Linked DNA regions of Nothobranchius furzeri. The protein of the gene in region 1 interacts with the protein of each later gene in a pairwise test. Links are inferred from orthologs where the notes say so. Each region holds a gene or a part of one and is shown on either strand. Other genes may lie near its edges.

Region 1 (4,426 bases):
CAGCTCCGTTTCCAACCAGACGACTCTGTTTCAGGGTAAAGCTCACGAGCCCATGCTTGAAAACTGCTCACCACGCACTCTGTAGCGACACGACAGACCTTCGGACCCGTAAACCCGGGAGCGAGGTGAACGTCGTGCTGCTACCGGCGTCTGTTGTCCCTCAGGCTTGCCGTAGTTAGAGGAGGACGCGCTGGGGTTCATGGGGTTGGAGGTAGAGGAAGGAATGACATTCAGGAAGTAACCCGAGGTTTGGGGATCCAGGCAAAAATGCTTAGAGACACTGTGTGTGTGTGTGTGTGTGTGTGTGTGTGTGTGTGTGTGTGTGTGTGTGTGTGTGTGTGTGTGTGTGTGTGTGTGTAGACACGGAAGTGGCTGGGCAGCCGTGGTGCTGCTCAACAGTGTCCCTCACCAGCAGAATTTCACACGTTTGATTTTCCTGCCACCGCGTGATTGCCAGTCGGGGGCTGGTCGCGAGGCGTTGGTCGCTTTGGTGACCCCGGTATACGACACAAAGCTCAACGCAGAGCTCGGCTCGACCTCCCAGACTGGAGACGAGTGGAAAATTGGTAAAATGGTAAACGGCCTGTATTTGATACAGCGACTTCTAGAGTCCTGGAACCCCCCAAGGCGCTTTACAGTGGCGGCGCCAGGGGGTTGCTAGGGGGCGCTATAGCTACCCCTGGATTAGTCATTGCACCCCCATAGCACCCCCAAGTAAATATTAGATTTATTTTTTTACAATTTAATTTTAATTTAACGTGTGGATGTGATCATATTTAACATACAAAACAAAAATAACCAGTAAATTATCATATAGATAGTAAAAATCTAAACAAAAACAGGTAATTGGTGTTAATCTTTGACCTTATTTTCCACCTGCGAACAAGTGAAAGGTAGAGCTAGGGGTAAAATGGATCGGTTTTTGTTGCCCACATTTCCACGGGTTCAGTCAGAAACGAATGAATGTTTGGAAGTGATCTCAGACCCACAAAAACCTACGGATCTGGATGAAGAGAGCCAACCCTCAACCGCCGCAGCAGTCCAGGGTTTTGCCGCTGAAAATGCGAACGCTAACGTTAGCTAACCTTGCAACACTATAGGTGGTTTTCTGTGTGGCTGTGTGTGTTTATGATTTCATGGAAAAGTCAGCGATTGTTCATAAGTTTATGATGTTTATTAATGATTGTTTCAAGTGTTGTTGAGGTGTTGTGCACGCATGTGTATCTGCTAGTGTTGAAGGTGTTTTAGAGAACAATATGTATGCATGACCACTTCCTTCATAGCACCCTCATTAAAAAGACTAGCTCCTTCATAGCACCTGCAGAAAAACATTTCTGGAACCCCCCCAAGGCGCTTTACAACACAATCAGTCATTCACCCATTCACACACCTCAGGGGGCGCACCGACAGAGGCGAGGCTGCCGAGAACTGGCGCCACCGGTCCCCCCGACCACCACCAGTAGGCATGGTGGGTTAAGTGTCTTGCCCAAGGACGACAGCAACAGACTGAGTGGGGTTCGAACCTGCAACCTTCCGGTTACGGGGCGAGCTCTTCACTCCTGTGCCACCGTCGCTCAAATCGGCTCAGAATGGGCAGAAAATCACACTTTGCTCGTATGCCCGGCTTTAGTGAGCGTGTGTGTCTGGGGGCGGGACTAAAAGCAGGAAGAAGCGGTCCTAAGCGTGAGGTAATCCCTTTTCCTGGGCCTTTTATGAATAATTAGAACCTTTCCGTGCTTTTTTGATCGATTCGTGCTGACTAATGGAGTCGTCCACCCAAAGATCAGTGAGAGAACATTGTCTCTGCATGCGAGTCCTTGTTATGTGTACAGCTAGCTGGTAGCTACTGACCCGGGTGTCCTCCTTTATGCCTGGGTGAATAACTAATGTGATTGGCTCAGACTTGCATTTAGGAGTTGTGCCGGTTATAAACCACCTGCTGTGAATTCAGACAGGAACTGACCCAAAACCACCGCTACAGGGTCTCGTTGGGGTTCTTCTGGTCTAGTGCAATAACGGGGTTCACGCTCACGCAGAGACCAATACTAGCACTGGCTCTGTTCACACGTATGTTTTTGTGATTCTTTTCAGGTATCCCACCTCCCCCTCCAAGAGCAGGAGGGCCCCCTCGTCCTCTTGCACCGCCACTCACCATGTTTCCACCACCGCTCAGCTCCAGTGTGCTCAGCGCGCCGCCCAGCATTGTTCAGAGGCAGAAAGGTCCAGGATCCAGCCAGGATGGTTCACAGGGCAACATGCCCCCCCCTGCCATGTCCATGCGACCCGGGGTCATGCAGATGCCTCCTCCTCCTGGGACAGCCGCTGCTTCCGCGGGGGCAAATCCCGGCGGCCACCACATGGCCACCATCGAAAAACGAGCCAACATCACTTCTGCTGCAGCCGCTGCAGGCGGCCTGGCTGCAGGCGCCGGCGCTGGAGGGGCTACCATCTCCGCCAAACCTCAGATTATCAATCCCAAGGCAGAGGTCACTCGCTTTGTGCCCACTGCGTTGAGGGTGCGCAGAGACAAGACCGGAGCCATGCCAGGGGCAGCAAGCGGACACCTGGAGAAGGTGGGGAGTGCTGGAGGAAGGAGGGGCGATGAAGGCCATGGAGGAGGCCACTGGCAGAAACAGCATGCAGCTGCAGCTTCGCTGGGTTTGGCTAAAGCATCCCAAGGAGGCTCTGTGTCTCAGCCCAGCATGAAGACTAAAGACCAGGTTTATGAAGCCTTTATGAGGGAGATGGAGGGACTGCTCTGAGACTCTGGAGTATCGGACAAATTGTTGTTTTCTCTGGGCTCTTTGAGCTTCAGGAGTGGATCGTTTTTGTGTGTCCAGAATGATAGAAGTAGCTGTATTCAGATCGTTCAACCAAATCAGTCTGGAGAAAATACAGTTATTTATAAATTCACCTGAGTTATGGTTTTTCCAAACAACCAAACACTGTCCTGCACAGAAGTGAATCTTCTCTTACAAGTTTATTTTCTAACAAGTTGTGTTCCTCCGCCATAAAAAGCTGTTTTTTTAATGGTTTTTACTTTTGTTTCTTTTATAGTTATTCATTTGAATGTGAAAACAGGAAAATGTAGAGTATTTGTCCTACAATGGCAAAATCCATGTCTGACAGTTTGAAATGCAGCTAAATAAACACCTGAAAACAACGTTAATCTGTTGTGTTTGATCATCGTGTTGTGTTTCAGACACACCGGCAGTAAGAGGGGATTCATTAGAAGTAGATCAGATTTCATTCTTAACCCAAGTGGACATTAATTGTGCTGAGAAGTAAGTTATGTAGGACAGCAGAGGAACACGTAAACAACAATTCCCATCAGTCCTCGAGGTTTCACGCATGAGCGTTGCAGATCTGGCAGGAGGCGTCATTTGGAATTCTAGGATGTCCAAGGAAGATCTCGCCATTCTCGTCTCTGATTGGCTAGAAAGGCTCTACTACGGCTGGCTATTTCATTTAACAGCAAACTGGCTGTCCTCTAGTGATGGGAATTCCGGCTGTTTTTAGAGAGCCGGCTCTTTCGTCTCCCAAGTGGCTCCTCAGATTTTCTGTTGCGTAGAGTACATTTATAACCAAAATAATGCAAAACTATATATAAAATGATTTACTGATGTAAAAAATGCTATATATCAAATATTTATCATTTCTATGGATTTAATAACTGAACACTTTAACAAATCTCCACTTTCCCACTGCTGGAGCTCATTTTCTCACCGTCTTTGTAGCACTCTCCTCTCTCTCGCTCGCCTTTTTCCTCCTTATTCCCTCTCGTCTCCCTCCACCCGCATGTGCTCTGCTGTGTGTCTGAGTCTGATCCTCCCTCTTCCCCGCCCCTACTGCTCTGTGTGTGGACAAGCTGGACATGCAGTCACACATGTTGACCAATTACCTGTAGCTTTCCCCAAAGCAAGAGGGGAGGGGGGAGGGGACGGCTCCCAATGACGAGCCGGCTCCCGGCGTCGTTCACTTCAAAGATTCGGCTCTTAGAGCCGGTTTGTTCGCGACCGACACATCACTACTGTCCTCGCCAAGTGCAGACTGTCCTGTCACCAGCGGAAAGCTGTTTTGGGGAGTTTAGTAAAGAAAATGTGAACTTAGTGCTATAATAAACATTCTGTCCTGTTAGCAAAATATTTAATGTTTCATTAAAAAAAAATGAAAAATGTAAAATGTGAATTTTAAATCTTGTTGCATTTATCAAACTGTTGGACTTACTTTATATCTCTTGGATCTGAAGCATTAGAGTATAGGATAAACATATAATAATACATTTTATTTCAAGCGCCTTTCAAGACTCTCAAGGTCACTTTACAAGTGCAGGTAGGCCTACATACAAGAAGAAAAAAACCACCAATACAAATAAATACATAAAATAATCAAGATAAAATAAAGGAGCTAAGACTAGATAAAAATG
Region 2 (4,815 bases), on another chromosome or scaffold:
TCAGTGTTGCAGCCAAACTGAAGAAGCCTCTGACTGAAGACACTTCCGTTGTCGGACAGTCTTGTGAAGAGAACGCTCAGGGTTGTCCATCATTTTCTTGATTCTCTGGAGAATCCTTCTTTGCATCATCTCCTCCAGCGGTTCCGAAACTGCCGAAACTCTGGCCGAGTCCTTAAAAGGTCTTGGAGTTCCTCCATCTTGTTGGCCAGTGATCTCACATTGTCCATTATGATCGATGGAAGAGATGGTTTGAATTTCCTCTTCCTCGCTCTGCACCCACGCTTCTTGCGTTTTAGCTCATTTGGGATTTGTGGCTTCAGTTGAGGTATTATTTCAGCCTTTCCAATGTTAATCAGCTGCTTCCGATTGTAAACCAGCTTGTTGCCATGGTTACGCATCATAACAAATGCTCAAAATGTGACAAAAGCTGAAAAATAGCAGTAAAAATCCTCCAAGCTTCACAGCACCAGAAACAGAAAAGTAAAGCGTCCCAAAAAAATACAGTTTTTCTTGAGAAACTAGAAGAAAAAATGCCCAAGAAAAGGCTAAACTTACATATAGTCAACAGAGCTACTCCAACATGCAGCCACCCAGAGCAGCGCAGTTCCGGAAAAAAAAGTTGTGTATTGTTGTGTGTTTAGTCAGGAGACTCTAGGAGTCAGAGGAGGCCATGACTCTGATCTTGCTAAGAAAGGGGTGTGTCTTTTTACTTTTGCACCCTCCCCCACGAAAGAGTTAAGTTCCCACCCTGTAACTGCAGCGTTGCTGGTTCGAGCCCCACTCAGTCTGTTGCAGCCATTCTGTCCTTGGGCAAGACACTTCACCCTCTATGCAGTGGTAGTCAAAGGGACAGGTGGCCTTACTTCTGGTACAACGTAGCTCATCACCTCCAGCACGTGAATTGGTGAGTGACTGTTGTGTCGTAAAACGCCTCCAGCTGGTTGCCACCTCCAGAGATTTTTCCGTATTTCAATTCAGTTTTTTTATTTAGCGACAAACCAGGACAGAGTCGTCTCGGGCACATTCCAGTTGAGTTCAGTTCATGATGCCAGTTATAGTTAAAAGTTTCCTTCATAAGGAACCCAGCAGGTGCATCGAGTCTGGGACTCCACAGCTTTCCTAATAGCAAGCATGTCGCGACAGCGGAGAGGAAAACTCCTCTTTAACAGGAAGAACCTCCAACAGAAGCTGGCTCAGTATGAGCCCTAACATTCACATTTAAAGAGTTTTTCTCTGATAATGAACATTAAAAGCACCTATTCTCTCATCCATGGGCATAAAGGAAATTATAAACCAGTAAACTTAATACAAATACATGTGATTAATAGTTTTAATGAAGAGAAAACACGGTTATTATCAGGATTTAGAGAAAAAACACATCAAAAGCTTCAAATAAGGGAGTTTTGATTCTGAAATCTGTAACAAGTGAATAAAACATGAGGTAAAAGCGTCGACCGGAAAAGGGTGGCTTGCCAACTCCGGGTCGGGGGAGAGGTCCTACTTCAAGTGGAGGAGTTTAAGTATCTCGGGGTCTTGTTCACGAGTGAGGGTAGGAGGGATCGGGAGATCGACAGGCGGATTGGTTCGGCGTCTGCAGTGATGCGGACGCTGAGCCGATCTGTCGTGGCGAAGAGGGAGCTGAGCCAGAAAGCCAGGCTCTCGATTTACCGGTCGATCTACTTCCCAATCCTCACCTATGGTCATGAGCTTTGGGTAATGACCGAAAGAACGAGGTCGCGGATACAAGCGGCCGAAATGAGTTTCCTCCGTAGGGTGGCCGGGCTCAGCCTTAGAGATAGGGTGAGGGACTCGGAGTAGAACCGCTGCTCCTCCGGATCGAAAGGAGCCAGTTGAGGTGGTTTGGGCATCTGGTCAGGATGCCTCCTGGATGCCTCCCTGGGGAGGTGTTTCGGGCTTGTCCTGCCGGCAGGAGGCCCCCGGGTCGACCCAGGACACGTTGGAGAGGTTACATCTCCAATCTGGTCCGGGAACGCCTTGGGGTCCTGCCGGAGGAGCTGGTGGAGGTGGCCTGGGAGAGGACGGTCTGGAGCTCCCTAGTTGGGATGCTGCCCCCGTGACCCGGACCCGGATAAGTGGAGGAAGACGAGACGAGTAAAAGCGTATAAACACGAAATAACAGGATCAAAAATGTTCAGGGCGTGCTTTTAGACGGCGCTCTAAGGACCAAACAAGCACCAAGACAAGGACTCTGCAGACTGACCTAGACTTCAACTAGACAATAGCTGCTATTTACTTATTATTGTAAAGACACGTTTCCTTCTTCAAACATGAAATAAACTTTTACAGGAAGTTGTTCCCAGTTTAGTTCTGACACAGAAAATTTGTAGACCATTGGCTTTTGTTTTTATAAAATACTGTTCTATTACAAATGAGTTTTAGGAAAGCAGTTTTACTGTCATTCTCACTAATCATCCATCCATTTTCAGCCGCTTATCCGGTCGGGTCGCGGGGCAGCAGCCCAGACTTCCCTCTCCCCAGCCACTTGGGCCAGCTCCTGTGGGGGAATCCCAAGGAGCTCCCTGGCTAGCCAAGAGACATAGTCCCTCCACCATGTCCTGGGTCTTCCATTAGGTCTCCTACCGGTTGGACGTGCCCGGAAAACCTCACCAGGGAGGCGTCCAACTCAGATACCTGAGCCACCTCAACTGGCTCCTCTTGATGTGGAGGAGCAGTGAATCTACTCCGAGCCCCTCCCAGATGACCGAGCTTCTCACCCTATCTCTAAGGGAGAGCCCAGCCACCCTGTGGAGAAATCTAATTTCAGCCGCTTGTACCCGCAGTCTCGTTCTTTCGGTCACTGCCCAAAGCTCGTGACCACAGGTGAAGGTAGGAACGTAGCTCGACCGGTAAATTGAGAGCTTTGCCTTCCGGCTCAGCTCTCTCTTCACCACGACAGGCCGGTACAACGCCCGCATCCCTGCAGACGCAGCACCAATCAGCCTATCGATCTCGCGCTCCATCTTTCCCTATATTTATCATTGCTTTTCTGTCTGGCTCTGGATTTCAGGGTTTGACACCGAGAGGTGTTCAGCTAAGAGATCTCGGACAGATGAGGACGGGGAGACCAGCTGTTCCTCAGCCCTCTCATCAGGAAGTGTAGCACCACAGCCAGCAGAGGGCAGCAACAGCAAGGAGCAACATCTCAGAGATGGAGACGACCGCGATGGATCAACCAGCTACGTTGTTGAGAGAATAGCTTCAGTTCTTAACGTAGCAGATGCATATGTCCTGGACATTGACTTGGATTTCTTCTCCTGTAAAAATCCCTTTAAGGAGTTGTACACAGAGGTAAGCCTCCCATGCAGCAGATATCAGTGTTGCATCAACAGCTGTGCCCCATCCACGTGTTGGTCTCCCGCTCACTCCTTCCCTCTGTCCCTGTGTCTGTCTTCATGGTGTCCCACTGTAGATCTGAATTAAAGCTGATCCGAGTTCTGTTTGCCTTTCCAGGAAGAATATTCCATTCTTAAGGAGCTCTACAACTTTAGAGGGCCCAGTCTCTGTGCTGATGAGGTCAGAAAAGTCCGTCCTGCTATAAATATACACTCATTCATACAGAGCTGACTAAAACCTGCAACTAGGGAGGTTTCATAATATTCTACCATTAATAGTGATGCAAGAAAATATCTATTTGGCAATATACTGTGATATATTTTCCTGCAATATTATATTGATATTCAAAGATGCAATTTAAATGTCGACCGCAAGTTGGCAGCAGGGTGCAGTGGGTTTTGTTTCCACCACTGAAATGTAAACCCTCTGTTATGGTGCAGATACCTCATGTTAAACATGTTAAGTATCACTGTGGACTGTTTATTCAGTATTCCAACAATAAATTCAGTCTAAAATAATTGCTAATAACATCTGACTGGATGTATACGTATCATATTGCCAGAATTTCACCAATACACATCCCTAACCATTAATATCGGCCAATATCAACATTAATCTTTAAAAAAAAAAAAGTTGACAATAATAATAACCGTCTTGTTTTTAAAAAAATATATCTCGGTGGACTACCGTGGCTGCAGTGTAGGTGCGGTGACCCTTACCAGCCACCGTATCATCTGCTGAAGTTGCCGGCGGCACATGCACACTTTGTTGTTTACAACCAAAACTTTCTTGAAGCTAAAACTGAAATAATGGCTAAAGGAGGAGACGGCAACGCTCAGGGGGATATTTTTCATCCCTCAAAGAAGACAAAGTGGGAAGTACGGGCATTTTTGGATATTTGAAGAATGTCGAGGGACAGCTGATAGAAGACGGCTATCCTGTTTGCAGCACGTGCAGAAAAAGTGTTTGTGAAAGGCAGCAACGCTTCAAATGTCATGACAGTCAACGCAAGGCAAGCTAACGTTAGCGTTTTAGCTAAAATGCGTGATCCGAGGATTTGGGTTGAGGGAGAATTTAACGAGTCGCTATATAAAGCAGCCGCAGCGCCGCTACCTACACATAAACCGTGTCGCGGACACCCCCATGTTGAAATGAGGCTATGCATTACGGGGCTCCCAGGGGCAGATAAGAGTTGGTCTCTCTCCGAGAATAATTATGAATTTAACGATTACTGCCTGATGACATTTTCCCACATCTGCAAAGCTCACTGGAAGGACACAAACCGAGGACATTATTTTCCTGATATAGGGATTATTACTCAAGTAAGGGTAAAAAAGTATCTGATTAGAAGGCTACTTGAGTACTGAGTATCATCTGATCTAATATTTTTAAAATGATGACATCAAACAGACAAAAAATAAGAAGTTATGGGCAAATATTGCTATTTTAAAGACTAAATGG

What was found. The genes of interacting proteins can lie anywhere in the genome.
Region 2: the proteins of wbp11 (region 1) and c11h5orf22 interact in binary tests that used the Homo sapiens proteins (3 or more experiments, as listed by UniProt). The two-hybrid records come from large-scale screens. The link is inferred for Nothobranchius furzeri from reciprocal best matches to the Homo sapiens genes WBP11 and C5orf22.

Annotation. Positions count from the first base shown.
Region 1 is NC_091752.1:67,488,915-67,493,340, reverse strand, and holds the end of wbp11 (WW domain-binding protein 11), read left to right. Parts: intron 1-2,091; coding exon 2,092-2,762; 3' UTR 2,763-3,035; downstream 3,036-4,426. UniProt on the Homo sapiens protein: Activates pre-mRNA splicing. May inhibit PP1 phosphatase activity.
Region 2 is NC_091751.1:66,278,040-66,282,854, forward strand, and holds part of c11h5orf22 (UPF0489 protein C5orf22 homolog), read left to right. Parts: intron 1-3,028; coding exon 3,029-3,309; intron 3,310-3,471; coding exon 3,472-3,534; intron 3,535-4,815.